Alligator mississippiensis: one gene and its partners. The protein of the gene in region 1 interacts with the protein of each later gene in a pairwise test. Links are inferred from orthologs where the notes say so. Each region holds a gene or a part of one and is shown in the gene's direction. Other genes may lie near its edges. The genes, in order: FMR1, CYFIP2, NUFIP1 and PICK1.

The links.
Region 2: the proteins of FMR1 (region 1) and CYFIP2 interact in a two-hybrid assay, tested with the Homo sapiens proteins (2 studies listed by BioGRID and IntAct). The link is inferred for Alligator mississippiensis from reciprocal best matches to the Homo sapiens genes FMR1 and CYFIP2.
Region 3: the proteins of FMR1 (region 1) and NUFIP1 interact in a two-hybrid assay, tested with the Homo sapiens proteins (2 studies listed by BioGRID). The link is inferred for Alligator mississippiensis from reciprocal best matches to the Homo sapiens genes FMR1 and NUFIP1.
Region 4: the proteins of FMR1 (region 1) and PICK1 interact in a two-hybrid assay, tested with the Homo sapiens proteins (2 studies listed by BioGRID and IntAct). The link is inferred for Alligator mississippiensis from reciprocal best matches to the Homo sapiens genes FMR1 and PICK1.

The regions. Positions count from the first base shown.
Region 1 is NC_081831.1:75,853,910-75,860,822, reverse strand, and holds the start of FMR1 (fragile X messenger ribonucleoprotein 1), read left to right. Parts: upstream 1-3,901; 5' UTR 3,902-4,096; coding exon 4,097-4,147; intron 4,148-6,913.
Region 2 is NC_081832.1:77,889,481-77,897,003, forward strand, and holds the start of CYFIP2 (cytoplasmic FMR1-interacting protein 2), read left to right. Parts: upstream 1-4,506; 5' UTR 4,507-4,588; intron 4,589-7,523. UniProt on the Homo sapiens protein: Involved in T-cell adhesion and p53/TP53-dependent induction of apoptosis. Does not bind RNA. As component of the WAVE1 complex, required for BDNF-NTRK2 endocytic trafficking and signaling from early endosomes.
Region 3 is NC_081824.1:410,873,635-410,881,309, reverse strand, and holds the start of NUFIP1 (FMR1-interacting protein NUFIP1), read left to right. Parts: upstream 1-4,668; 5' UTR 4,669-4,744; coding exon 4,745-4,913; intron 4,914-5,899; coding exon 5,900-5,988; intron 5,989-6,478; coding exon 6,479-6,583; intron 6,584-7,675. Other genes in the region: GPALPP1 (GPALPP motifs-containing protein 1), read right to left, coding at 4,460-4,544. UniProt on the Homo sapiens protein: Binds RNA.
Region 4 is NC_081827.1:99,868,087-99,875,888, reverse strand, and holds the start of PICK1 (PRKCA-binding protein), read left to right. Parts: upstream 1-4,787; 5' UTR 4,788-4,917; intron 4,918-5,054; exon of another isoform or gene 5,055-5,102; 5' UTR 5,103-5,177; intron 5,178-7,802. UniProt on the Homo sapiens protein: Probable adapter protein that bind to and organize the subcellular localization of a variety of membrane proteins containing some PDZ recognition sequence.

The DNA.
Region 1 (6,913 bases):
AAACAAAATGGACTTCAGAGCATCTGACAAAGCAGGCTTACAAAAGCTCATGCCTCTCTAAATGAGTTACTTCAAAATACCACGTTGCCCTAATTTCTGCCTAACTTCAGACTAACGCAGCTAACTACCTCTCTAGGACAGTGGTTTTCAACTTGTGGTCCATGGACCCCTGGGGGTCTGCAGACTGTGTAAGGGGTCCATGAAAGATGCTTATGATCAATCAAAAGGATGTGAATACCCACACTTACAATTCAAAGGGGTCCGCACCTCCGTTTGAAACTTCCAAAGGGGTCCACACCTCCATTTGAAATTGTAGGGGTCTGCAAATGGAAAAAAAAGTTCAAAACCACTGCTCTAGGAGAAGATAGCATGTGACCATATAATAGAATACTGCATCATGATACTTATGCACAAGGGGCTCAAACTAAAGGTGCACAGGTAACCTTAATTTTGGTATTTCCTATATTGCAAGTGCTTGATTTTGCATTTATAACATTTTGATATGATTTGTTTACAGTTGGCCTACATCATCAAGGTATCTTGTGGCTAACATTACATAGCTCTGATTTAGTGAATCATAAGCATCTGTTTTACTTTTAATTTTCAATACATAAAATAGTAAATCCTAGTCAGTGGCTAAGTTGTAAGGAGCAGACTTTCCCAACCTGTTCTAAAATAAACCCACACATCAAGTACTATAAAAAAGTGCTCCTTCCTGATTGCTGCTATCCCTTTCTGCCCTGTAGTTCTGCAGAGAGAATCAATCTTAATAAAAAGTATATAGATCAGGTTTCAACCCCTTTCTGCATGCAGATGTGGTGCACAAAACATATTTAAATATAGCACAACCTATTTTTTTGAAGTTCTGTAGCTTGCACTATTTAAAACCAACTGGCATGAACATGACATCTGCATCTGGAATGGATTTTAGCATGGGATGCCCATGCAGTCAACCTCACTCTCTCACCTTCCTTCACCTGAAACCCTTGGGCAAAACAGGGCCAAGACAGCTAGAGAATGGTCAGCTGCAGTTCTTTAGGAAACATATACCTCCCAATGAATCAAGACCTAAATTGTAATCAGGGCTTGTGGACAGAGGTGATATCTTTTATTAGACCAACTGTCTAATAAAAGATATCATTTCCTCTAGACCAATATAGCTACAACCTGGATACCTAACCAAACTGTGGCATCTCCTTCGCTGCTGTTCTTCAAAGAGGCTGAGCAGGCCTGTCTGGGATATTTTAGGAATAACGTGGCTCACATCTGAGCAAAAGGTTGGGCTGATCACCCGTGACATCCCTCCACATCTTATAGTTTTCTGATAACACCAGCTTTCTAGACAGCTTGGCTACTGGATTTACCCAGATGACTGCTGGAGGGCCAGGAGGTGGGGCAGAGAGACAGCCTTTTGGTTAGGAATCAACCACGTTCCTCAAGACTAATTCCCTGGCATCCCCCAAGGCTGCACAACTCACCCATGGTTCCTAACAGCCCTAGTTAAATTAGATGCTATTACTATATATATATATATATATATATATAGATACATATATATATACATACATACATGTATATATATACGTACATGTATATATAAAAACAGAACTTAAAGCTCTTTTAAAAAATGGAAATGTGTTATCAAAACTGGGAGGCTACCAAGCTACTACCTGCCATCACAAACTGCAGGAGCAACCGTCCTTCACATCTACCTGCATTCAGAGACATGAGCTTTCATAGGCTATAGCTTGCCTTGTCAGATGCTAGAAAGTCCATTCCATCTAGGAGAGGAAAACTCAGTTTCAAAACTAACCCCTATATAGAAAATGCAACCGGTGACACAGTGGGGTGGATATATAAGAAATGAGGGAAGGAATATAAGAGCTTCCCATGAGGGAAAGAATACTAGAACTTAAATATAATACAATTTTATTCCTATTTAATTTTATTCCTAACCCCTCAGGATTGCTGTGCTCAGGCAAAGTAAATAAATAAATAAATAAATAAAAAGATGCCCCTAACATTGTCTCACCTAGCACTGCCCATTCCCCTGCTCTCTCCCTCTCCTCGTTTTCTGTATCCTAATTTCTCTCTTCATGCTGTTTCCTGCAAGGCCTTTCACAGCATGGTGAAGCGAGCTGGGGTCCACAAAAGCATGTGCTCTCTCCCTCTATGTATAGATATATAGATCTCCATGCGATTACGTCTTCCGACTGACTTCAGGTCCCGAGTTTATTACAGAACAGTCTGTAAATACCGATCAAATTCCTCTTCATCATTTACAATGGCAAAACTTACATAGCTGAAGCCAAAAATGCAGTTTTCCCCAAACTTTTCACTGGACCCAGAGTGAGGTATCCCCTCGCTGCGAGCCGGCAAGGTTCTTGGGAAAGATGATCTTTTATTTGACCAACTAAATAGTTGTAAAAATTGCTCGTTGCAAGCTTTCGGGCGTAAACGCCCTTCTTCAGGCACGCAGAGTCACCTCACCGCCGTGCGTGCAGCAGTGTACTTCAAAAAAAGCTCCAGCTGGCAACATGTTTTGCACTTGAAACACTAAGTCTCCTCTGTCCTGTCGCTCCTGACCCTCGTGGCCTGTCTGGCACCTAAATAATATTTCTAAATGATGTATTGTGATTTGATTTCCCTTGACATAAAGAATAACACAGTTGAAATAAAAGAGGTCTGACTTCAGACGAGTGCGTGACACCCTGTTTACACCTCAGCCTAGCACGTGTCACCCCGTGTGTATCTCAGACTAGTGCATGTGACACCTGTGTGTACAGACTAGTGCGTGACACTTGTGTGTGCCTGACTAGTGTGTGACACCGTGTATACCTCAGATTAGCGCGCGACACCCGTGTGTACCTTATTCTAGCGCATATGACACCTGTGACTAGGACATGCAACACTCATGTCTACCTCAGACTAGCACATGTGACACCTGTGTGTGCCTCAGACTAGCATGACACCCGTGTATACCTCTAACTAGCACGTGACACCTCTGCATATACCTCAGACTAGTGACACTTGCGTGTACCTCAGACTAGCGCACGTGAGACCTGTGTGTACCTGACTAGTGACACCCATGCGTGCCTCAGACTAGCACGTGACACCTCTGTGTATACCTCAGACAAGTGTGTGACACCCATGTGTACCTCAGACTAGCGCACGAGACCTCTGTGTGTACCTGACTAGTGTGTGACACCCATGCATACCTCAGACTAGCACGTGACACCTCTGTGTATACCTCAGACAAGTGTGTGACACCCGTGTGTACCTCAGACTAGCGCACGAGACCTCTGTGTGTACCTGATTAGTGTGTGACACCCATGCATACCTCAGACTAGCACGTGACACCTCTGGGTATACCTCAGACAAGTGTGTGACACCCGTGTGTACCTCAGACTAGCGCACATGAGACCTCTGTGTGTACCTGACTAGTGTGTGACACCCATGCATACCTCAGACTAGCACGTGACACCTCTGGGTATACCTCAGACTAGTGTGTGACACCCGTGTGTACCTCAGAGTAACACGAGACACCTCTGTGTGTACCTGACTAGTGTCTGTGACACCCCAGCGTGTACCTCAGACGAGCACACGTGACCCCCCGACACCCCAGCTCGGAGCTGCTAGCAAACCCCCCTCCCCCACCGCCAGGCCGCACACCCGCCGCCATGGCAACCCGTCTCCCCGGGTCACCGCCCCCTCTTCAGGCCCCGCCCGCTCCTGATTGGCCGCTCCGCGCGCTCTCCCATTGGCTACCAGCGCGGTCACTCACCAGCGGGACGGGCGGTGGCGGAGGGCGGGGCTTCACCCAGCGCTCGCCGGGTTAGGTTGCACCTTCCCCTCACACGCCCCCCCTCCCCTCTTCCCCTCCCTCCCGCCGTTAACAGGGAGCGGCCCTCCCTCTCGGTCACGTGACGCGGGTCGAATGTTTACCTTCGAGGCGGGCGCCCCCCGCCCCTCCCCCCCCGCGCGCCCGTGACCGTTTCGCTTTCATTTCCGGGCAGCCGCGGGCCGGGGCCGGAGCCGGGAGCCGCCCCTCCCCCCCACACACACCCCGCGGAGGCGGCGCCGGGCCCGACGCGACATGGAGGAGCTGGTGGTGGAGGTGCGGGGCTCCAACGGGGCCTTCTACAAGGTACCGCTCCGCCTATTGTCGGCCGGGCCCGGGCGAGGCCTGCGGGGCCCGTGGGGTGGGCCGCGGCCTAGGCCTAGTCCCGCGTGAGGCCTGCTGGGCACGTGCGCCCTGTGGGGGGGGGGAGGGAGGGAGAAGGAAGAAGGGAAAAGGAAGGGGGAGGGGGCTTTTTTTTGTTGTTGTTAGAAAAATCCCCCCCTCCCCCCTCCAAAAAAAAAAGTTCCCTTGGGTGGATGCTAAGGGGGATTTGCCTCCCTATTTAAACCCCTGAGAAGCCCCCAAAATGTCCATCCTCCCCTGGGGAAAGGGGCGGGTGGGTTGGGGGAGTCGGGGTGGGGAGGGAAATCTCCCGGTTTTAGGGCTGCGAGTTAATGAGCACACGAGGGTTTTTTTTATTTGTTTTAGGGTTAATGACTGCACGAGGGTTTTTTTTATTTTGTTTATTTCTTTTTCTTTTTAGGGTTAATGAGCAGATGAGGTTTTGGGGGGTTTTTTTAAATTTTTTTTAGGGGTGCAGAAAGTGAAGTTTGCGAGGGGTTCGCGCCCCGACGCGCTCGTGAACGGTCGTTTCGAGCGCTGGTCAGATTCGGGCTTCGAAAGCAGACAGGGTTCGGGATCAGGTCTCATTAAATAGCGGGGGGATTTTTCTCAGGGAGTTTTCGGGGTCGAAAGTTGAGGGGTTTCCTAAAAAAGCACGAAGCGTGTTCTTGGCGTGAACAGCTAGCGCCGGGATAGAAAGTTTGGGACGTGCGGACTTCACGTGGGTTTGTCCGGTTCGTGTCCTCTGAGAATCGGCGAATTAAAAACGCGCGATTTCTACTTTTCCATTTTGCTGGTTGAAACCTACAAGTCTTCCTGTTAATTTCACTGGGCGGTTTAAATCATGAGCTGAGTTTGTTGTGTTGGTAAGTATGAAAGCTTAGTTAGCCCATCCAGGTTTATTCATCTTTTGGCTAGAATATTCTTCTTCTTTCCTTTTTACGTTTTGGAGTACGTTATAGTTTGGTTTGGTGAAGAAATAAAAATGTAAAGGTTAAATAAGGGGTGGGGGGTTGGAAATGGCAAATAGGTCTCAGCCGTCCTCCAAAGGTGGCTCAGCAGAAGCATCACATATGCTATAACAAAATCAATCAGTTCTCTAGATTTAAAAAAAAAATGTTTTAAAAGTTTTAAGCATCTATAACCAAAATTCATAGTTGATCCATTCAGGTGAATAGTTTTCTTTTCATTATAATACCTGAGCACTGCACAAATATGAATGCATGTGCCTGGTTCGGTGTAACATGAGCCAGTATTATTCTTATCTTGGTGATTAGGAAACTGAGGCACAGAATGAACTGTACTGGCCGGCATCGCGCAAAGTTTGCAGCAGGGACAAATTCTGGACCTGAGCTTCAGTTACATGACTGAAGGGTAAACTGAAACATTTCTGTAGGCAATATCTTAGATGGATGCTTTTAGAATCATAAGAGTGTAAAAATACTCTTTATCCAATTTTATTTAATGGTGTGTTTATCTCTAGCCTTTGTTGTAAGGGCTTCACTTTCTTTACTTGCATCAAGGTGTAACAGCGGTATATATCTGTAGAATTTCAGTAAGGATCTTGAGAGTCTATTAAGGCAGTTTTGCAGTATGAACTTTAAATGCATGTCCCCGCTGCCTCTGGACTGCTACACTGCAAAGGGGATGTAATATCTCAGGGATGTAGTATCTCTGGCATGTCTATTGGCACATGTCCAAAGCCACACCAAGTGCCACATTACATCTGTTTCAGGACATAACACGCACGCGGAGCCTGTGTCCTGTGTTTCGCTGCTGCGCATCTTGTTGGTGTAGTTTAGCTGTATGCCCTTACAGTTGGTACTGTAAAATGGCCTTCATCCCGCTTTTAAGAACTGTAGCAAAATTCTGTGAATGTGTGCTGCTACTGTATTTTGGTGTAGTGTATGGGCAGCACAAGATGAAGCTCCACAAAAGGGGATTCATCTTGACCTGGCCACCTAACTTCTGCATTAGGCATCTCAGTCCAAAATTTAAATCCTTCAAATTCTGCCACAAAACTCTTCCATAACCCTTAAGGAGTATAAAAAATCTAGGCAACTAAAGTTCTGGTTTTTCCTGTACCCAGCAGCACCTCAGTCTTGACAGTACTTGACAGTTCTGAGCTTGACTTGTGTCTAACCATCATTGGGGTTAGTGGACAGAGGTGCTTCTTGGCAGCCTGTGATTTAGTTAGGTTCTTGACCCCTCCCAAGAAGGTGGGATTTAAGACCTCCTATCCTCAGCACTTCCTGTCACCCTGTTTCAGGTACTTCCCTGCTAAGTGTTCTAATGTATCTCCCTTCCGAGGTACCTAACTTTCCTCGGGTTCCTGTTAAGACCCCAGATGCCAAATACTACAAGGCACTTAAGTGCCTAACAGACTCTGCAAATGCTCATTTACCATGCTTAAGTCCCTTCTGGATCTAGCACTTCCTGGCATGAGTTGGGGGTGATCACATTACTCATGAATGGCAAAGCCACAAAGCGATATTCAGGTCATCCCAAATAACTGGGAGGACTACTGTCACATAGTAATAGTACTTTTATGTATTGTCTGTTATAAAGACAAATGTTTTAGAAACATTCTAGGGAGCTTTCCAAAACTCCTGGTAGTTTTTCTTCTTCTACCAGAATCTAAAATTGTGTTGATACCATGACTGATTGCATTAGTGGAGGGAAAAGAAAAATAAATCTAGAAAGAATTTTGATTGTACAGTGACTTTTGAA
Region 2 (7,523 bases), on another chromosome or scaffold:
GCTGGATCTATGTTTTCACTGGGAGAATAAGCTCTCCTTTTGCCCCTTCACGCTCCAGCCTCTCCGTCTGAGTCCAGACTACCTAGCAAAGTGTGAGTTGTTTTAAAAAGAGGTCATTTACCTTGAGCAAAAAGTTGGGGACAATTTCCACAGGCAGTCTAACTAACGAGGGTTGCGTGGAACCGAGCAGCTCCCCAGGCATGCACAGGCCTCCGAGTTTTGCAAGGATATGATCCAGCTGCAGAAAGTGTACTTGTGGTTTTGCTAATATTGCATAACGGTTGCAGAGGCCGGGTGAGAAAGGGAAACAATTTCAGTGATCTCACGGGTGCAATTCAGAGCAGAAGGCCCTTGTGACTGCTCCTGACTTGGGTCACCCTCTGCATTAGATGCCGATCCCACCGCTCGCAGTTTGGGGGCGGTATTAATGCAAGAATACAAAAAACCTGAGAGCACGACAGCGTATTGCAACGAAGGCTGACTTCTGCAGAGGGAAAGCATCGCAGCACCCAAGAGGGGTGCTGGCAGTGGCTAAATCTCTAGAGCATTTGCACCCTTATTTGTAGGTAGGGGAGGAAGTGTGCAGTGAGGATGGCACGTGCATCCCTGTAGCAGCACTGGCGACTAAAAAAATCTTCAGGGGATCATTGAGAGGGCTCATCCTGGTTGCCTGAAAGGAAATCAGGCAGGGATAGGAAAACTCCAAGATTTAGTTGGGAGCTGAATTGTTTGGGACTGGTGGTAGGAAAATATCCTGGCAGGGAGACGCTCTGGGAATACGTCTGTAGTTCAGACTGCATCATGTGCAATTTGCTGAATTGCTTCTGCTGAGATGAGCTGGCTAACGGCGCTGCCAGTTTAGACTCCATGGATACACTGCAGAGCTAAGATGGAGGAGGTTGCTATGGGTTTGCCTAAACGACTGTGAATCTGCAGGGTTTAAAATGGTTGAATAAAGCCACCCAGATGCTTACAGCAGTCAGGATGTTGAACCCACAGAAACCTGTATCCCAAGCACAGGAAAATGTAGGCAAGAGAGTTTTTCTGGGTATTGATCTGTGAAGGTACACATGTGGGGGAGCAACAGCAGAAAAGCCAGAGAAGCAGGGAGGGAAGGCAGCAAAAACTTTAAGATAAAACCACTGGAAATATGGCCTCTGAGAGAGCTTTAGGGCCGAGTGCCGTCTGGAAGAGGCTTGGAGCTGCGAGCGAAGAAACTGTCCTGTTCCCTGGCTCCTCACAAATTCAGGGAAATCAGACAGCCACATCCTTTGCAAATAATTAGGAGTCTAATAGCAGAATCTGATTCCACCTCCAGGTTCTCCTCCAAACCTGGACAAATACTCCAAATACTTGATTCACCCCTCGAGCCAGAAGTGGTAATACATAGATGTTAGGGTCGGAAGGGACCTCAATAGATCATCAAGTCCGACCCCCTGCATAAGCAGGAAAGAGTGCTGGGTCTAGATGACCCCAGCTAGATACTCGTCTAACCTCCTCTTGAAGACCCCCAGGGTAGGGGAGAGCACCACCTCCCTTGGGAGCCCGTTCCAGACCTTGGCCACTCGAACTGTGAAGAAGTTCTTCCTAATGTCCAATCTAAATCTGCTCTCTGCTAGCTTGTGGCCATTGTTTCTTGTAACCCCCGGGGGCGCCTTGGTGAATAAATCCTCACCAATTCCCTTCTGTGCCCCCGTGATGAACTTATAGGCAGCCACAAGGTCGCCTCTCAACCTTCTCTTGCGGAGGCTGAAAAGGTCCAGTTTCTCTAGTCTCTCCTCGTAGGGCTTGGTCTGCAGGCCCTTGACCATGCGAGTTGCCCTTCGCTGTACCCTCTCCAGGTTATCCGCATCCTTCTTGAAGTGCGGCGCCCAGAATTGCACGCAGTACTCCAACTGCGGTCTGACCAGCGCCCGATAGAGGGGAAGTATCACCTCCCTGGACCTATTTGTCATGCATCTGCTGATGCACGATAAAGTGCCATTGGCTTTTCTGATGGCTTCGTCACACTGCCGGCTCACGTTCATCTTGGAGTCCACTAGGACTCCAAGATCCCTTTCCACCTCTGTGCCACCCAGCAGGTCATTCCCTAGGCTGTAGGTGTGCTGGACATTTTTCCTCCCTAGGTGCAGCACTTTGCATTTCTCCTTGTTGAGAAATGCACCCAACTCAACTGTTAGCATGGCACTATGCATGTGTGTGTGTGTGCGTGAGCATGCATGCACACGTGTGTGCTCACATCTGGGACCAGACTACTGGAAGAAAAGACATTGCCCTGAAAGATGACGTGCCAGACAGGTGCGGGCTTGGCTTCCTCACTGAAACTATTCACCGTCTCATGGGCAGGTGCCTGGACCTCATGACCTGAGCGTGCACTGAGCAGCACAATGCTGTGGCCAAGGTAATGCCCTACAGATTGGCTTGTACCGGACAGATGGCCAAGGCTACCGACCCTCGCTGCAAGCACAGATTGCCACCAGTGCTGGAAGATGATGAAACCAAAACACATTGGGATAGGTCAACCATCGCGGAGCAAACCTTGGCACACAAACCACCACACCCAGATAAGGGGCTACCAAATACTAACTGGAAAAAGAAAGTAAATCGGGATTTATTATTGACTCTCTCTCCCAATGCAAGAATGAGGGGTCATAACATTGAATATTAAGAAAAACTTTCTCTCTAGGAGGGTAGTAAAACACTGGAACAGGTTACCTAGAGAGGTGGTGGAGTCTCCATCCTTGGAAGTGTTTAAGACCCAGCTCAACAAAGCCTTGGCTGGGATGATGTAGCTGGGGCTGGTCCTGCTCGGAGCAGGGGCTGGACTAGATGTGACTCCTGAGCTCTCTTCCAACCTGAATTTTCTATATTTCTATTCTGTGACCTAAGGACTGACCCAGTAGACAGCAATTCTTATATTCAGACACCGTGTTTGTGGATGAGATGACCAGGCTAGCACTAGTCATTGATGTTGCTATCCCAGCCCATCAGAAAATCACAGTACACTACAGCTGGAAGGGAGCTTGGGAGGCCACATCTAATTCAAGGCAGGATCAATCCTGTCTCAACCACCCTGGACAAGTGTTTGTTTAATCTGCTCTTAAAAGCTTCCAAACTGGCAGGGCCTGGAAAGGGCTGATCCTGCCTGAGGCGGGGGGGTTGGACTAGATGTCGTCTTCTCTAGGAGGCTCATGATGCTCTCTCAGGAATCCAACCCGGTGCTGAACCACCCTGATAGCCAGAGAAAAGCTCAGACGATGCCCGAAGCTGGCCACGGCTGTAAAGAAGGTGCTCTGGCTCCTCCAGAAGGATTGCCATGCAACATGACGTTACGCAGTCGACCCATTCAAACCACTTCTTCTTCCATCTGGTGGATGCAGATATGGAGCGGCAACTCCAGTTTGACAGGGAGGTGGCTGAGCCAGACAAGGAGCAGAGAGAGGATGGATGTGAGACCTCCTTCGTACCACCCGGCTCTTCCTTCTCTAGGGGATCCTCTCCCTGGGAGCCAGCAGGTGCCCATCGGCCATCGTAGGTCCTGCCATATTCTGGATCAGCAGTTCCCAATCCGCGGGATGCATACCGGACAACCTGAGAGTGGTACACGTTAACAGATTTATTATAATTATTTTATGATAAAAACTTGCTGGTGGCACTTAAGGTTGAACTAAAAAAATTGCCAGTGGTACTTAAGGCTGTATCGTTTTAAATGGTGGTGCTCCATCTGCCCGAGTTTGGGAACCCCCGTTCTGGAGGTGACCTTGGAGGCTGGTGGCAAAAGCACAACAATGGCACCGTGCCCTTTTGGACGCCCCCCTGCTGAAACCACACCTGCCCTTGCCAAGCCGCTCTCCAGTAGCACTCGTGTCCTACATTTCCTTGTATAGTCCAGCCTCACCTGCGCTGTCACAACCTCCCTTGGGAAGGGGACCAGGAGGCAGGGGTGCACCCCAGGGGTCCCCGGGGACCTGGCATTGCTGCAGCCTTGCATCTCTGGGGGAAGAGCTGGGGGGGGGGGCAGGGCCAGAGGGGTAGATGCTGCAGGGGCAGATGCCGCAGGGGCAGGGGTAGATGATGTAGGGGCAGGGGTAGATGCTGCAGGGGTAGATGATGTAGGGGCAGGGGCAGGGGGGTAGATGCTGCAGGGGCAGGGGTAGGTGATGTAGGGGCAGGGGTAGATGCAGGGGTAGATGCTGCAGGGGCAGGGGCAGGGGGGTAGATGCTGCAGGGGCAGGGGTAGGTGATGTAGGGGCAGGGGTAGATGCAGGGGTAGATGCTGCAGGGGTAGATGATGTAGGGGCAGGGGCAGGGGGTAGATGCTGCAGGGGCAGGGGTAGGTGATGTAGGGGCAGGGGTAGATGCTGCAGAGGTAGATGCTGCAGGGGCCGGTGCCCGGGCGCAGCGGAGAGCCGAGGAAGTGCACTTGCTGCAGCCATTTCCTCTCTTTGTGTGACACACGGAGGCGCTCACACTCGCTCACACGCGCACACGCGCACGCACCGGCAGCGGCTGCAGCAGCAGAGGCGGCGGCTGCAGCATCCTCCTCCCGGCGCGGCCCGGCCCGGCCCGGCCCGGCCCCGCGGCGCAGGTAAGCGGCTCCCCCGCTCCATCCCGCGGCAAGCAGGATGCTCCCGGCTGCCGGGGCTGGAGGGGCCCGGAGGACCAGAGCCTGCCTGGGGCGTGGGAGAGGCAGGGATGGGGCTGGAGGGCAGGGGAGCTGGGCATGGCCACTGTCAGACCCAGCAGAGATGGGGCAGGGGGGCTGGGGTGCAGGGGAACCGGGCATGGGCATGGTCAGACCCAGCAGAGATGGGGCAGAGGGGCTGGAGGGCAGGGGAACCGGGCATGGGCATGGTCAGACCCAGCAGAGATGGGGCAGAGGGGCTGGAGGGCAGGGGAACCGGGCATGGGCATGGTCAGACCCAGCAGAGATGGGGCAGAGGGGCTGGGGTGCAGGGGAAGCAGGCATGGGCATGTTCAGGCCCAGCAGAGATGGGGCTGGAGGGCAGGGGAACCGGGCATGGGCATGGGCATGGTCAGACCCAGCAGAGGTGGGGCAGGAGTCTGGCCAGGGCCTGGAGCACCAAGGAACCAGCACAGCAGCTGTAGCAGCAGCGAGGATGACTGCATTTGGGCTCCTCGGTGCTGGCTTTGTCAGCCAGGGCCTGGCCCCAGAAGGCAAGGTGCTGCCTGCTTCCCTAAGGAGGGTACGGGGAGCGCTTCCCTCCAGGGAGCCCCTGGATGCTGGGGTCCCATGGAAGCATCCCTCCTGGAGACCCCGCCTGGGCCTGCAGACCTGTCCCTGCCCACTCGCCCCTGCCAGCCCAAGCTCTTTGGTGCCGGCCGGGTCCCGGGGTGAGGGAAGGAGCCGTGGGTGTTGCAGGCAATGCCTGCAGGCTGAGGGGGTCTGGTGGGGTGGGAGAGGCGAACGGAGACCTTTGTGCGTGCTCGGGGGCTTGGAGTTGTTTGTGCATTTGCTTGGCGGTGGGAATTCAGGACAAACCTTGATGCTTCAGAGGGGAAAAGAGCCTTAGCAAGGGGCAGCCTCACTGGGCTCCCTCGAGCCATCTGCTGCTTTCAGCACGGGGGTCTGGGGCGGTGGTTTTTGGATCCGAGGGATCTCTAGTGATTATGGGCCGGCCGAGCCACCTGAGCCAGCCCGCTGTACACGGGAAGCAGAAAGAACCAGCTGCTGGTGGCTTAGGTGAGGAGAGCTGTCAGATGCTGGTCACCGGGATGGATTACTTGGGCTAAATCCTGCTGTCTGTTCAACCCACGTCCATCCAGCGGTGCTGCCTGGAGAGAAGAGTTTAGCTCTTCATGCCTCCCGCTGATTTTCCTTAGGGAAGCCGAAAGGAACCACGCAGCACCTTGCTCGGTGGGGCCGGCGTCTGTCCAGCAAACCCGGCCTGAGCAGCCCAAATCTGTGATACTGCAACTATTATTGTTGTTCTTGTCACTATTAACAATAGCAGCAACAAGAACAAAACAAGGAAAGGAGGATGGGATTTTTCAAACATTTGGCTCACAATTCATTACACTTCTCTGCCTATGTGAGATTGAGTTTCCCAGGAAATGAATGTTTCCCTGTCATCTACCAGCAATCCCAATTAGACAGGACTCTGGCAATGCCGTTTCCAAACAATAGCACAGGATCCCTTTCCTTTGTCACCTCCTGCCACGAAAATATTGGCTAAGTCATCCCCCCCACAAAAGCACAGAGGTGGTAAGAGAAAGGTAGTTAGCCCTATTTGTCTGCATTTATGGTAGAGGTGCACCTTCTAGACTAGCAAAAAAAAAGATGGTTAGCGAGGTTAGATTATGTCCAGATTCAAGGACTCCACGTACAGGGCCGCTGGCCATGGCTGGGATGTAGCAGAGGGGCAGGAGAGCGCCGTGCTTATTAATCGTACTTGTAGCAGTGACTCAGGAGCCCCGATCTGCAAGCCTGGCTCCCCGGGAGCTGCACTCCCCCCGCACGCATCTCCTGGATTGCAAAGTGACTGTGCACCCCTGGAAGTCCTATTTCACGTGAGTCGGGGTGGACAGATGGGGCCTGAAGAAGCCTCGCTGGCTGAGATCGATCCTGAATGTTTCCTCCTCCTGCATCCCGGTCCATTGTAATCCCATTCTCTCCCCCTGGCTCCGTCCCTTCCTCGTGTTTTCAGCCATGCGGTCACTATATAGTGACTACTTGTATACCCCCTCCCTCTGCCCATAGTATGGAGATAGATGAATTTATTCTTCTCCTCTGTTCACACAGATGAAGTTATTCTTCTGACTCTTCAGCAAAGGAGGGTGGTTTCACAGAAACATGATGGTTGTGAGGCTAGATCTACATTGATTTATGGTCACTCTGAAGCCCTCTGTGCTGCAGACAGTACAGCTCAACCCTGGCAGTCATCCAGCCCAATGCTGGCAGCTCAGCACCACGTCTAGGTCTAAGGTCCATCCCACTGCTGCCTTCTCCCTTCAGGGTGTCGGGGGGTCACCTCCGTGGACAGGGTTCAAGCACAGCCAGCAATAACCCCCCAGTTCTCTGCACCCGACTTCCAAGTACTCTGCACCCCACGCTACCTGCCTCTAGGCACAAATCTGGAAGGAGAGACACATAATCTGTAGAAAACCAGCATCCTTTGAAAACCTGTGGTGCATCTCCATAAGATGTAAGAAATATATAAGATATAAAAAATAAGCAGCAGTGTGGATGTCCTTGGCACAGGCCACAAAGTGGGGCATCCTTTAAGAGCCAGGCCGTGGCCATAAACAAGCCCATCTCTCCTCATCACAGCTGCTGTCCTCTGTGCCAGGCTTTCTGCCCACTTCCCCATGGCGCTGCTGCCCTGTCTGTGATACCACAGGCAGCTGGGTTAGAGTGCCCTGATCAGTAAAATCCCCCCTCTGCAGTTTTTAGAGCTGTTTTGGCATGGGCAGGGGTCTCTTCGGCTGGACCAAAGCAAGCTGACTAGTGCAGACAGCCTGAATCACTTTCTAGCTCTTGTCCATGCTGTTTCTGGACAAGC
Region 3 (7,675 bases), on another chromosome or scaffold:
AACCTTCCCATGGAACTTCAACAACCTCTCCCACTCGGGCACCACCTCCACCTATTCCACTAACAACCAGCTTCCTCTCCTGACATCTCACTGGACTTAAATCCTAGATACACTTCAGCAACCACTGTGGCCACAGCAACCACATTCTGTGCAGTTCCATGCCCTCTGTTCATCACAGCTTAAGGCAAACTACATTGAGCAGGAATAGAATTTTAAAGCTAAATTGATATGCTAATTATTTGTCCAAATGGCAACTACTTACTTAGTGTGTATGAGTTTTATATAAAACTTCATAAGACTGAGCAGCAGGGCCTCATCTAAGGGAGATGCATTAATAAAAGTGGTTTTAACACAGCTGAAAAATATTAACAGAAATGAACAAGCCTAAGTCCAAACTAGTCTTGAAAGTGAGTAGTTTTTAACAAATGAAACACAGGAACAGCTGCACTGAAGACCTGATAAGCCAAAAACACCTTTAGGATCTAATTCTGCAAACAGCTGTTCATTTAACTTTGCTTCCATGAATAGTGTCAGTGACTTCCAGGGCAATGCTCACACATGCAACATTACTCAAAAGATTTAGTGTCAGTTCCTTAAGCTGGGAACTTTGTTGTTCAAGTCCTTGCTTTAGTGAATATTATTTAAACAAAGTTTAACAGCCCCAATAGGAAACCCATCCTAGAATAGCCAACAGCCTGGTAGCTACAGAACCCAGCTAACCTGAAAAAGGGTGTGGACACATGATATTATCACTACAGAGTAATTTATCTACATTTTACTCTGTAATAAATTCACAATAAGTTTATCAAAGTTATGTTTAATAAATAGAACCCAGACTCCCTCTGCCAAATTAACTGTCTGCAGGAGGAGTTATTATAGCATTTGGCCTCTAGGTGACAACGGAGAGGGTTTGCACTGTTAAAACAGTGACCCCTGGATGAAACTGCCTTTCTGAAGGGTTATTTTACCATTGAGTAAGGCTGAATACTTCGCATCTACTCCACTTTTACTTGGGGTGAAGTCCAATTACTCTGGTGTAAAAGCACTGTGTGTCTACCCTCTTGGGCAGAAAAGAAACATGACTCAGGATTGATCGCATCACAGGTGAGTGTCCTAACCTCTGGGCTGTCTCCTCTCTCTCCAATTTTGATGAGAAATTCTAACCTGGGTTTGAGATGCCTTTCCTGAACAACGTATAGTGCAAATGAACACATTTCCATGAAAATTTTGAGTTTCAACAAATAAATACTTTCCACTAAAACAGCACTTGGTCAGAACATTCTTCAATGGCTGTATTCAAAATACATGACCCATAAGTGTATTTGTGCCTTTAAACTAAGAAGGAAAGTGATATTATTTAAAAGTACTTAACATAGTTTGAATTCAGTTCACCTCTCTTAAAGCCATTATTATACGGCTGTGTTTCCCATTCCAGAGCGTCTTTCACAGAATCTTCTCACAGATACGAACGAAGTTTAGCCTAAAGTCATCTAACTGCAGTGAAGATAATGTCTTTCTTGCACAAACAAGTTATTCATTTTCTATGCATCCTGGTAGCTAAGAAGTGGCTGCTTCAAATATAAGACAAATGCAGGCAAGCACAAACACACAGACATTTATGAACATGCCCTATTTTATCTTGTCTGGTGTTGGTGGTCTAACAGCAGGGTCCAACTCATTTGGCTCAGCAGCTGGATGAGTTGCATGAGACCGGTCTGCAGGCCCGATGTGGCATGCAAGGTCATATCATCCAGCCTGCAGGGGCTACCCAGAGGTTCAGAAATTTGGCAGGACGAACATGGAGCTGTGGCAATTAATGCAGTTGCCACTCATCCTGCTGCCAAATTTCTGGTCCTGTGTGGAGCCCTGTGGGCTGCATGATGCAGCTCCCCAACCCAGATACAGGTGGCAGACCATACCTTGGTCACCCTTGGTTGGACCCTACTGTTAGACCACCCACACTTTTCCAGTGCGTTTAAAAAATGCTCTTCTTTTGTAGGGATGAGCTAATTATTTCTAGACATACAATTAAACTTTCTACTAAGAATAATTACAGACCTCTCCAATAAATGGCATAGGATTTGACAAGATGGCCTTACGCAAGCCAAAAGTAGCAATAAATACTGACGTACAACAGAGCAACCTATTGCCAGTGCAGCAAATGAGATTTAGGTCCAAGGTAGGCGATGTGCATGGATGGATCCAGGATTTTGAAAAGTGGGGTGCAGAATACATGATAAATCACCATGTGACACATTTTCTCCAGTTCAAGAGAAACTAGACGCTTTACTTATATCCTAAGGGCCTTAGGCCATATTATTAAGTTTAAGATCACAGCAAACTATTGGAATGTGTACCAATTTGCTAGGCATATGTATCAATTGAAAAAAAACAAACTAGACGAATAAAGTATAGCATGTCATTAGTCCTGCAGTCACTATAGTTAAATGTACATCTCTTATCAGATTCACAAAACAAAATCTAGCCTTTTTGAATGTCTTGGCAGTGCCTCAAATATTTCACTGTCAGTCATGTCTAAATCTGAGTTAATATGACCACACCTGAGTTAAGGTTTTTAGCTAGAGATCAAAAGCATCTGTAGGGCTGTGAAATGGAAGAGACTCATTACCAGGAATGGCAAACAGACAGCAAAATGGCAGAAGAAAGAATAGCTTGAATAGTGGAAGATCAAGACCATAAAAGGGAGGAAGAATCCTTAACACCTGTGGAATGAAGAGAGATTAGCAGGACTCAGGAAGAAGATAATGAGCCACGAAGTCAATTGACTATCTCATCACTGCCTGAACAGAAAGACCGCTAACCCCCACACGCAGTTGGCTTTAAAGTTTGGGTGAAGCGGGGGGGGGGGGGGGGGGGGGCGCAAGTGCACCTTTACATCCACCCTGCATCTTTCCATGGGCGTATGTATACACATCTGGGACCCCTGATCCATTGATTCTCAGCCAGGTCCCACACCACCCTAGGCTGCCTCAATATCCTTTACAAGGTGACGTGGAGTGTCTGCGTGCAAGTCACAACATAAACAAGAACATTTCCAACAGGAGCCAGCAGCATCAAGACCCGGCTACATGTTTAAATGAAAGGTGGATGGAAACCAGCTGTAGAGCTGTTACACATTTCCAAGCACTAAATTTGTAGCCAGTAGGTTCTTTTTAATTTTGGAGAGTCCTTTTTATGGTGGGAGATTGCTTGGCGTGTGTGGACAGTCTAAATTTACAGCACGCTTCACCAATGAATGGCAAAAAGTCATGGGCATAATTCACTGGGGAATCGTGCCACAAACGTAGACTGGCCACAGATGCAGGGTCATTGTCACATGCAGGGTGACTTAACTTCAAAATGGAAAGGCAAGACATGTCTCTGCCTCTCCTCCCCACCCCTTCCTGCCAGCAGCAGAGCCAAGCAGAGCGGGCGCAGGTGTGGGCTGCCTGCTGTGAACCTGGGGCTCCCAGCCCCACTGCCTTTTCCCTGGGAGCCCTGCACTGGCTGTGTGCCCCCTGTCCACCCGGGAGCAGCATAGGGCACAAGTCCACGCCAACACTGCCCCTTGCCAGAGGGGTACAGCCAGCATGGGGCTCCCAGGAGAAGGGCAGCAGGGCAGGGAGCCCCAAGCCTGCATTCAACTCCACCCCATGCAGAAAACTGGGGGGAGGGGGGGACACACGACACGACAGACGGACACATGTGCCTGCAGTGACAGGGAGCTGCCCCCTGTACTCCCTCCCCAGATGAACCACCCGTGCCTCCGTCCAGCTCCATGTCCCACCCTGGGCAGTGCTGCCAGCCCCCTAGCCCACTCCCTGCCTCACCGTGGGGGTCTCAATCTGCCGCCCACCATGTCCCTTCCCCCCCCCTCACAGACTTACCTGCAGGGAGCTGCTCTCCACACTTCCTGGCTGTATCCCCAGCCATGTTCATACAGCACCTCCTGCATCCTGCTCCCCTCAGCCCCAAGCAGCACCTTCGTGCCGCGAATGGAAAACCCAGATCCCTGCACAATACTGCAAATCCGGGACAAATACTGTCTGGAGTCATGCAGCCCAGGACCAGGGCTTGAAGTTCCCATTTTGGGACTGCCCTGCCCAATTAGGGATGGGCAGTCACCCTAGTCCAGGGGCTCCCAACCTTTTTTAGATCACGGACCAGCAAGCTGTGGCCCAAAAACGACCATGACCAACAAACTGCAGTGTGGAAGTGACCGGCATACCGTGGAGAGGCAGCCAACCCTTTTTTATACTCAGTCGGATGCCTTTCCCGGTCCGGTAGCCAACCCTCGTGCGGCCCGGCCGCCAACCCGCTGCGGCCCGGGGGTTGGGAACCTCTGCCCTAGTCACACGTGCCACAACCAGAGCCGAGCCCCGCTCCGAGGCCGGGAGCGGCCTGAACGCGACGGAGCGCAGAGGCTGGTGGGCAGCAACGGCCACCGCCCCCTCCTCACCCTGCGTGAAGTCCTCGTCGGGGTCCGCCTCGGGGCAGCGCGGGAAGCCCGGGGGCAGCGCCGGCCCGATCAGCTCCCGGGCCATAACAAAAGCGCCGGCACAGCGCAACGCAACCAGACTCCGCCGCGCTTCCGGCGTCGCCCGATGACGTTACTAGCTGCCCATTGGCCGGCTCTGCGCCACGAGGGGGGGACGTGGTGTTTACAGCGGGCCCGGAAGTGACGCGCAATGTGGTGGCCCCCGAGGCGGTCCATGTGGAGGCAGCAGCAAGGGTCGGGCCCGACATGAATCCCTTCGCTTGGTATCCTCCGCCGCCGCCCCCCGTGTTCTGCGCGCCGCCTGCCTGGGAACCCGGCTTCTGGGGGCCGCCCGCCGACTTCGGGCCTCCCGGCGCCTGGTACCAGCCCCCGCCGGCGCCCGGCTACGGGGAGCAGCACCCGGGCCCGCCCCCAGGTACGCGGCGGGAGGAGCAGTGCTGAGGCACCTGGAGCCGCTGCCCGTACACCGTCCTGCGAGCTCTGGCTGTCTCAAGTTACAGAGGCTGGGGGTGGCCCGTGCATGGGACGCATGTGGCTGATCCCACCGGGGGCAGAGAGCAGGTTGGGAAGGGGATTGGAGCAGCCCTCGGGCTGATTGGTGGCACCGCCTGTGCCTGGGGTGTGCCAGTGCTCCTGCTGGGGCATAAACCTTGAGGTTCATGGCTGGAGGGTCTTGCTTCTCTGCTCAGGTCAGACTGATCCCCATATTTGGCAGCAGGAAGGAATTTTACCCCAGGGTCAGATTGGTAGGGCTGTGGGGGGTTTTGCCTTCCTCTCTAATGTGGGGTGCAGACCTCTCTGTACCCAGGGTCTCTTGAGTTCATATTGGCAACCTTTTACAGAAGCAGGATGTTGGTTGCTGCAGTCCATCTGCTTTACCTGTGGCAGGTTAGGGTGCGATGTCTTGTGTTGCATAAAGGTTGGCAGTAGTTTTCCAAAGAGGTTAGATTATATATTTGTTTTGGTTGATTTTAATTAGGGATGATCCTGCCTTGGGCGGGGTTGACCTCTGGAGGTCCGTTCAGGCTCAACTTCTATGCAGTTCTATGGAAAGGTTGGCTCCAATAACTAAGGTCAAAGCTTTTCAACCTGTAGCCCTGGGGGTCTGTACAATATTTAAAAGGGATCTGTAGAAGATGAGATCAATCGGAAGTATGCGAATACCCAGCTTACAATTCAAAGGAGTCCACACCCCCACTCAATTTTTTTTAAGGGTCCGCAAATGAAAAAAGGTTGAAAAGCGCTAACTTAGGCTGTGCACTCTTCTTCTGCTCCCCCTTCCCTTAAATATAATCCTGGTGGAAATAGGGTGTATTTTCACATTGCATTTTTATCACTTTTAATTTATAATTGCTGCTTTTTAATTTTCTTTTTGTTTTTTGGTAACTGGTGTTGTTGAAGGTGGAAGCTGCCATTTTGCCTCAGAATGGCAAGCTGAGCAAACACCCCCGTATTACAGACGTTCTGGCAGTGGAAACTACAAACAGAAGGTACTCACTATAATTGTTATGTCGAGCATGCAGCCTCAGGTGTAGTTCAAGTACAGAGTACTCTCAATTGAAACACATGGCGCATGCACCATGATGTGTCTGTAAGCCTAAATTCAGTATCGTGGGGTGCTTCTTTATTGTTGAGATGGGCTGGCCTCCTGCAAGAATCTTTTTCTCATGATTCATTTGATATCTTCAGTCTACCTAGATATTCAAAGCTTGGGATGGGTTGGTGGTAGCATTGATGCTTTAAAAAGAAAAGTAAACGGAACCTATTTGACTTTAAAAGCTGAGAGAAGTGGAATATGGTAGTTTGATTTAAAATTACTTTTCAGACTAAGCTGCATTTCAGATATCTGGAGTATTGAAATTCCAATTGATATAAAATATTTTCAACGCTTTCTTCATAGCATGTTACTTTATTTAAAATAAGAGCCAATATTTTTAATCAATTTCTTTAACCCTGTCCCCCTTTTTTCTCTTTTGGCAGAACAAAAAGAAAAAAGAACCAGATTTTGCTCACTATTGTGATACGTGTGACCGTGGCTTTAAAAACCAAGAAAAGTATGATGAACACATTGCACAGCACACACAGGTTGGGTTTGTTTATTTTTAGGAAGTCTATATTAAAGTAATGTTTTTGGCCTTCTGTCAACGTTCTTTCATTTTGGTGTTTGATTTTGTAACCTCACCGTAGTTTGTCATGGTCAGTGTCTGAATGGAAGATCTCTAGAGGGGATCCGTGTTCTACAAGGGTGGTATCAGTTGGTAATATTTGCATTAGAATCAGTACTTTTACCTTAACTGGGATCTAAGACAAGGAGTATAGTGCTAGTGCTAATTAGTATCCTTTTTGATTAAGAGGTAAAGCTAAGGTCCCAGTTAAATCTGTAACTTTTGCCTGTAGTTGCATGGGATTGGCTGTTGGTGACCCTGATGCTGAAAGCATATCTGGGTTTGAAACCTGTGTGAAATATTAAGGGATTTCCTACTCCAGATCTGAGTTAAATGCAGTTTTTCCATCCCATTGTTCCGTCCAGTGTCCCATGGTTCTTCCATTGAAAACAGTTCCACAATAGGAGTAATTCTTAGGTGCCATTTGCTCTACTTCTATCACTTCAAGCAAGAAACTGTAGTGAAGTTCTACCTTGCTGGTCGCTGAGAGTTGTAATCTGAATTTTAACAGGTATTTAGTTTCCCTTAATAAAGACTAGGGGCAATGTAGACTTTGTACCTAATAGTTCAAAAGATCTTGTAGCTTAATAGTGTGTAGCTGGTGGCTTTGTATGCTTTAAACAGTTCTGGGTTAAGTTTAACTTCGGGGAAATAGATTTCTTCTCTGTCCCTTTGTTATATAACACTTGTGAAATAATAATAGGACCTTTTGCTTACAGAGTGCTGTGGATCAGTTCACCAGCACCATCAGTCCTCAAATGGAAAGAATTTTGTTTTGAAAAACGCTTTGGGGAGGTGTAATGGAGAGCCAGAAGATTCTTGTTACTTGAGGAGAAAACAGTAGCAGCCAGAGCTGGCTGCAAGGAAAATAATCAGCCAGGGGAAGAGGCAGAGGCTAGGAGTGCCTATCAAAGCTGGTTATTCTGTGATAATCTAGCAGGGAAGAATCCTGCTTGGGAAGCATGGGCCCTGCTGCAGCAGCAAGGCCAGGAGCGGTGAGCTGCATTGGAGC
Region 4 (7,802 bases), on another chromosome or scaffold:
CCCAGGCTCTGGCCACTTACCAAGAAGGGCTGAATTAATCCTAAAGATTTGTGGGTGGAAGCATGGGGGGGTGACATGGGTCCATTAGGAAAGAGGGGGATTCTCAGGGTTTCCAGGGAAAACTCACTTTCTTTCTCTCTCTCTTTCCCTTTCACGCACACCCATACATGCCGGGACGTAAAAGTAACTCTAGAGCTCGGTGGATTAGGGTGTTTTGCATTACGCCCTTTATTTTCTATTGTGATTATTTTCCTTCCCAGAATTCTTTGCTAGCTGGGTTCTTAACATCACTTCCTCTCTCATCCTTGCTGGTGAAGAACAGCATATCCATTCAAGGTTCCCCACTGAAAAGTTGGCAAGACCAGGGACTGACCATCCCATGGGCTCTAGATGTTACTAATTAGGACCAACATACAACTCTAGGCACCAAGTTCATAAGTGAAGAGCCAGCTTGGAAATGCTTCAGTGTCGGGCCAGAAATACAGAGAGGAGAGACCCAGGGAAATCGTTTCATCAAGGGAGGTCCAAGCTGAGCCAGTGGAGCAGGACTTGATTCATTAGAACACACAGCGATGGAAGGAGAGAGCAAATAATGGGTAGGGTCACACTAAGAGCCAAGGAAACAACCCCATTGAGTTGCAATTTCCAGAGCAAACCTAGGGTCGACACTTTTGAAAGTGGTGCCTGCCTGCCTGTTTTCCCTACACAGTTATAGATCACTTTTTTGCCTCCTGCCTCTCTGTATGGCGAGGGTCCAAGGGAGATAAATACTACGGTAAGGATTGGGGGCTGAAGCTACAGGACAGCACTAAGGGGACCTGCTTTAAGTTCAACTAGAAGCCTATTGGAAGCTTAATGAGACCGGTGTAAGTGAGAACAAGGATGTGGGCTTCCTGGTGCTGATGGCAAGTGCAGGTTACAGCAGTGGCATCAAATACCTGTCCATACATGATATACCAGGTGTGTGAAAAGGTGGAGTTGGCACCAAATAAACCCCTGTCCAAAGGGCCGACTTTGACCTTCCCTACATCTTCAAGCATTGTCCATGTCTCTCTGAGACAAAGACCCAAGACAAGGGTCTAGTATTTCCTTCTCCCAAGCAAGCAAGCAAAGCATCTTCCCCAATATTGTCTCCTTTTCCCTTTGAAGAGTAAGGGATATAAGTCTCACACACATGCACACAAATTCCTCATGGAGATCTCAGTGGAGAAATTTCTAGGCCCTGGTTCCTACATATAAGCAACGCTGCAGTGCTGGTTTGGTGAATCCTGGGCCATCACACAGACGAGCTCTCTCTGTTTCATGGGGAGAATTCCCACTGGCGTGGCAGGAATTTTTTTGGCATGCTGAACCTCTGTCCCTTGCAGTTTCCAGGAAACTACAGGAAAAACACATGGGGGCCAGGTCACTTCTTCCCAAGAGCCCAAAATGATCACCACTGCGTACAAGATGCAGCATCACTGTATCATCCAGACTGCTGAACTCAGCACATCTTCCCCGGCTAGTGAGGTTTATCACAAATCTGACAGGAGCCTCTGTGAGGGATGCAGGAATCTTCATGGAGGAGAGGAACCGCCTGAGGGAGGGGGAAGGGGTCATCTCCTGGTCCCACTGGGAGATAGCCACGACTAAGAAACACTGGCCCAATTGTTCCTCCTCTGAGGCTAATATCCAACCTGGGATGGGGGAAGGGCAAAGCAGGATACAATAAGAAGGAGGCGTTCATTTTCCCTCCCTCCCTCCAGGTGCAGGTTCTTGCTGGCCTCATGAGAAAGGGAGAATGGGAGGGGGATATTTTTTCCAGGAATGGGATTACAGAGTCCCGATAGCCCAGTGGCAAGGCATCAGTTGACTGAAACCCCTGCTATAAGCTAGGTCAAGAGTCAACAACAAAGGGACTCGCTTGAGCAAAGTGCCTGACAAGACACAGGACTTCAGGGTGTCCTACACTCTTTTTGGCACATTAATCAAAAAGTCCAGGGTCCTCTATGTTGACCCTAAGTAGAAAAAAAAATGGTGCTTAAATCTGATGGAAAGGCAGAGCTGGAGATCACATCTCTTCTGCATGTGCCCAACAATGTGGGAGAGAGAACACAAAATGACACTTCCCAGTGGTGGGATAAAGAAGCCAAACCACAATGACACTATTAGTATGAGGCATAGAGTTTGAGACCACCTTGTACTTCCAGTATTAGTACTTGAAATTTGGTAGCCTACAAAAGCATTTGTCATGGCCCAGGAGCCCCTGCACAAGCACAGAACAAAACAGCAGTCCCTGCCTTTACCTTGTGATGGAATCGATATGCCCCTGTCATGGAGCAAAGTCAAGGTAGCCTGAGCAGATCCACACATGTTGGCCTTTCTGAGAAGAGCTCTACGTAGCTTTTACCAAAATGCCGTGTCAATGGTTCTTTGCAATTAACTGGGAGAGAGGGTGTTTTTCTTCTTTCCTTCTTACTCCATTTCCATCCTGATTTTTCTCTTTCTCTTTGTCATCTCTTTTGATCCTTTCCTCCTTTTCTATGTCCAGTTTCAGCTCCCCAAGTATTCCTCAGAAACTGGAGTAGGAGCACAGGTGTTTAAAGTGTTTTCTAAGCATTTTCTAACCCTTTTCAGCCTCATTTTCTATCCTGGTAACATGTCCTGGTAATATGGTGGTGGGTAGCCAACGGGGATTTCTCTCTATCACTATATGGTGCCTTCTACATCACTGAGATGATGGGACACTGAGTGAGGGAAGAACAGCAACCATTTCTCTACTCCAGAGTCACTGCTGGCAACAACTTTCTATCTACAGAATAAAGATGTTACCTGTTTGAGCACCTCTCTAAGACTGAGAAACCTCCCAGGTCCATTATTAGCCACCCATCTGATTAAATTTCAGCAAAGATCTTTATAAGGGTGAGGGCCAGTTGGATCCTTTCAGGTTGGCAGGTATTTGTACAGCAATCTGCCTATAGCAGATTCCACCTCTTTTTCGCAGCTGAATAGTATTTATCCCATTATATCTGTACAGCTCTGATCCTCAGTCTCCTCCACACTAGCATAGTTGGCTCACTGGCATGGGACTTGGGAGAACTTGCTCTTTCACACACTTCTAGCATGACCGTGGGCAAGTCCTTTTCTCTGTGCCTCATTTCCCCATTGGCAGAAGGAGGGATAATAGCACTTCTCTGCCTCACATAGGTGCTGGGAAGGGAGTGACACCAAGGACAGTGAGGTGCCCATGTACCATAGTAGCAGGGGTCATAGAAGTACTTGAGATAAATACCTTCCAACGAGTGAGCTCTTAAGACCGAGGGAGCTTCTGAATATCAAGCCCCTGGCTCACACATCCAGTGATTCCTTTACAATTCTCTCTCTAAGCCTGGGGTCCCCCCTGCAGACCCAGTTCCAGGTCACCACACACACATCCCATTGTGACTATATAGATGTATTTTATTTGGGAGCTCTGCATAACCACCTGTAAGTTGCAGCTGTGGCAGCTTGGCTATTCCAGGACTTATGCCTGTGACAGTAAATGACACCCTCGCTCTGTGGTCTGTGCTGGCTGCCCGTTCTCTGGTGAGAGTGTACTGTGGTTGCTCTTATTGCAGATAAAGCACTAAATTATATAGAGCTGGCCTGTTGATGGGGCTTCCGACAATACATGTGCATGTGCAGTATCTCTGTGACATGCTCCCTTGCTCCCATCTTTCCATCTTACCAAATCTTTTGTGCCCTAGGAAGTCCTATAAGAGACCTATATAGCACTCCAGGCTCCTATGACTTCCAGCCCCTCTGCAAGAGAGTAAAGTTGGTCATCAACACAGATCCTGCTTTTAGCCAAGCATTAAGGAGCAAAACAGAGGAAAAGATTTGAACTATGAGCAAGCAGGGTGAATCACCATAAGGAGCCATATTAAGGCAGGATCCAGACGTGGTGGTGACACTACTGAGATACTCAAGGTCAAGTTCATCTCTGAAGTTACTAGGGATGGGTTTGGCCCAAAGAGCCCGTATGGTGTGTTACTGGGCAGGGAAGATGAAGGATCCACTGTGAAGTGGAACATGAAGGAAAAAGAATCTGTCTGAAGGGGAGAAAGAGGTGATTTTCAGAGAGAAGTGCAGACAAGATCCCAAAGTCCAGGGGTCCCTGAGGCCTTGCAGAAAACGTTTGGTGTGCCTAGCCCGTTTCATTGCTACCCAGCCTCTCCCTCAAGCTCCAGGGAGATCTGTCACAGATAACTGGGTATGCACCACAAATACCTGAGCTGCTGCACCCCAGCAAGAATCTGGGTAAATAAGACAGTGACAGCTTTTGTGCCATGTCCCGTCTCAAGGGCACAGGACTGGTATTGTCCCAGGCCCGCCTGGGAAAATGGGAGGGGTTCACAATGAAATCTTTCCATACAGTAAAACAGCGTCAGAGCGGGGGGGACAGACATTCAAAAACACACACACACAACAGCGAAACAATAACTCCAGTGTGTTGAGGGAAAGGGAGACCCATGAATTGGAAGTTTGATAAGGGTTTTCTCTCTCTCTCAACAACCCCTTCAGTTTCCCTCTACATCCCCCCCCCCCCTTGCCTTCTTTCTTGTTTGGGCCTTTAACAGTGCGCTGTCTTTGTTCAAGATACAGGTGAACGACAATCATGTGATTAACACACACACACATAAAAAGCTTTTTAAAAGCGTCCAGCTCGCCTCAGACCCAACGAGGAGAGAGGAGACAGGGCCAGTGAGAGCAGAGGCAGCAGCGGCCGGACTACAGGGCAGGGCAGGGCAGGGCAGGGCAGGGCAGGGCAGGGCTGTAGCTGGGAGTCAGCTCCCCTTCGAAATGGCTAGACCCCATCCTGCAACCGTGGATGCATTCCCTCTTGGATGGGACAGCCAGACACCCACTTCATCCATATGAAACCCATTTCCTTCCGAGGTGGGGAAGCAGGAGAAAGAGCTGGAGAATGTGGGTTGGGCTCTTTTAATTTGGGGAGTAGGTATTTTCTTGGGGCCCTCTCTCATTATTTTTGCTCCCTTTCCCCCACTTTTCACTCCCCCACGTCCCTTTGGCAGGGGCGGTGGATTGGCATGGATTTTGGCCGGCTGCCTCTCTCTCTCCAGTGATATCAGGAAGCCTCGCTGGAACTAAAAGATCTTCCCAACGCCATATCAGGGGGATAGCAGAGACGGCTGAAGGTTTGTCCTTTCCTTATGTTGATAATCTGGTGGAGGGGAATCTGGGTAAGTGAGGGTGGTACAGAGGATGGCTATCCCCTTCCTTGCCTCTTAAGGGACAGGAGGTGTCCTCCCATCTGTTTCCCATTTTGCTGGTCCACGCTTCAGCAATGCGCACACACCTTCCCAGATGCTACTGTGTACATAGGATCTGCCTTCTGCCGTGAAAAAGGGGATGCACTGGACTCCACTCCTCCCAGGAAGCCGGAGGAAGAGGGAGGTAGCATTTACACTGAAAAGAGGGTAGGGCAAAGGGGATGTGAGTCCACTGATTATGGGTTGAAGGAGGGCTAAAATTCCTTCTATCTTGGGCCCCAATAAGGGGAGAGAGACAGCCAGAGGGTTGGAGGGCAGAACCTATGCAAATAGGACATCAGAAGCATCCTGGACGTCCCAAAGCAAGATATCGGGGGTCCAGTGCTTTCAGTGAGAACTGTCTCTCTCCTCAGGTGTGTGGGTATCACTAGGCAGCACTATGACATCACACCTGACTGTCATGGAAATGGCTGTGAAGTCAGCTACCCTACCCTGTGATCTCACTGGCAGGAAAGAAGTCTGAGGAGAGGCATGTATAGAGAGAGACCCAAAAGATTTCAGTGACACATGAATAGCTGGGTAATCATCAAGGCAGTCAAAGAGGAATGCCAGAAAGGAACCAGACAGATTAACAGGGTCTCACTAAAATATTCCTTGTTGAAAGCTGGTCTGAGTCTGACACCCCCAAGGAGGGAGGGAGAAAAGGGACCTGGAGTCTGCTTTGGAAAATGAGCCTGTAAAATGTATGGGCCTGATCCTGCTCTCACTCCAGGCTGATACAAGCCTGTCTGCGCTGACTTAATGGAAATTACTCCTGCTTAACACTACATAAGTAAGATCATAATCAGGCCACATCCATCCACAGATGGATCATGTAGCTTATCACCACAAATCTAAAAATGACCTTTTAGTGCAGCCCCACCCCCACTTTTTTCCCTGAATTCGTCCTTGAGTAAAGGTCAAGAAGAACTCATGATGGCTCTGGGTTTCATGGGTCTTTCCCAATCTTGGGAGAATGTAAAGCATCCCTATGCTTATGATAGGCTCCCTGATGGTGCCAGTATTGCTGTGTCATAAGGCAATTCTTTTGTTGTGATGCCTAGTTCCAGAGTGGCAGCCAACCGAGAATCTGATGAACCACAGTTCCTAACAGACCCAAGGATCTTCCTATCTGCTGTTGGGACCTGGGCAGATGGGAGGTAGCCATGCAACAGCCAGATCTGCTCTGTTTCCTTCTGTATCATTAACAGAAAGGAGCCACTGGCACCAGTTCAAGAGCCTCTCAAAACCCAGGACATGGTCAGTAATCCCTGCTTCTCCCTCAGGCCCTGGTCAAGGGTTGGTAGCTTGAGTGGGCTCAAGCAGAGAAGAGTGATAGGCTCATTCAGGAAAAAATAAAGCTCCTGATGTGGCTGCAACCACATTGTAACAGCTACTGGCTGCTGCTCTGACAGCTTCAACAAGGAGCAGGTCCATGTGGCTGAATTACAGCTGTTTGTAGTGTTCCCTTGCAGGGATAGCAGCAATTGTCATGGGGGACCAGGTACAAACAAAAGGCATTTTAAACATGGAGGTTGGTTAGGCCATGGTGGATTAATTAGTCTCCTTCAAGGGCAGGCCAAAAGATTTAGTACTCCAGTCCCTGAGAGTGGGAGAATCAGATTGGATTCCCCATCCTGATCACTCCCTTCCAGAGGGACCAGAGGGTCTGGGAGGACAGGGGCAGGTGAAAACCACAGTTAATGGTTGTCACTGCCTCAGGTCAGGCACTTTCCTTCCTGATCTTTCACCTGATTTCCAGCCAGCCCAAGGTTAATGGAAACCAAACGTTTGCCCTACAACAGATAGTTCACTAAGTGGTGTAGAGTGGCAGGGGAGAAAAGGGATTGCCAGCTCAGTTCCTACTGGGATCAGCGTCTCCACCACAAGAGCATCATCATCAATGGTGCTAGTCAGTCTCTTTGTTAGCACTTCTACCCAAAAGACCACAAAGATGAATGTGTCTGTAGGGCAGACCTGAGGGACAACCATGAGACAGTTCACTCAAGCAGCAGCACCTCTACTGATGTATGATATCCACTGTCTAAGGGACTAAGAGAAATTTCCTCTGCAACATTTTTAATACGAAAGGGGGGAGTGGGGGGTTCGCTATGCTGGATGCTTCAGAGATGAAGGATGTGGGGAACCCCACTATGAGGGAAAGCAGGGAAGAAAATCAGTTTGGGCATCAAGATGTCTCTTTGTCCATCATCTTAGTTGTTCTGATATTTTGTGGGCAGGGGAAGGGGTTACAATAGGATAATTTCCCTGCATTACTAGGGTCTGGGAAGATCAAAGGAAGAATCAGTTGGGTATGTCTGGCTACTACCTGCTATAGCAGGTGGTACTCCGCCTCTCAGTCTCTTGCTGTTAACCCCCTCATGCCCTGACGGAGACATGTGGATTTGAGACAGGGGTCAAAATGAAACATCAAAGTGGTGGAGTCGGGCACTGTCAGGAGAAAACACGATTTTGCTGTGTGCCGTTTGAGGTTAGGTTTTACATGACCAG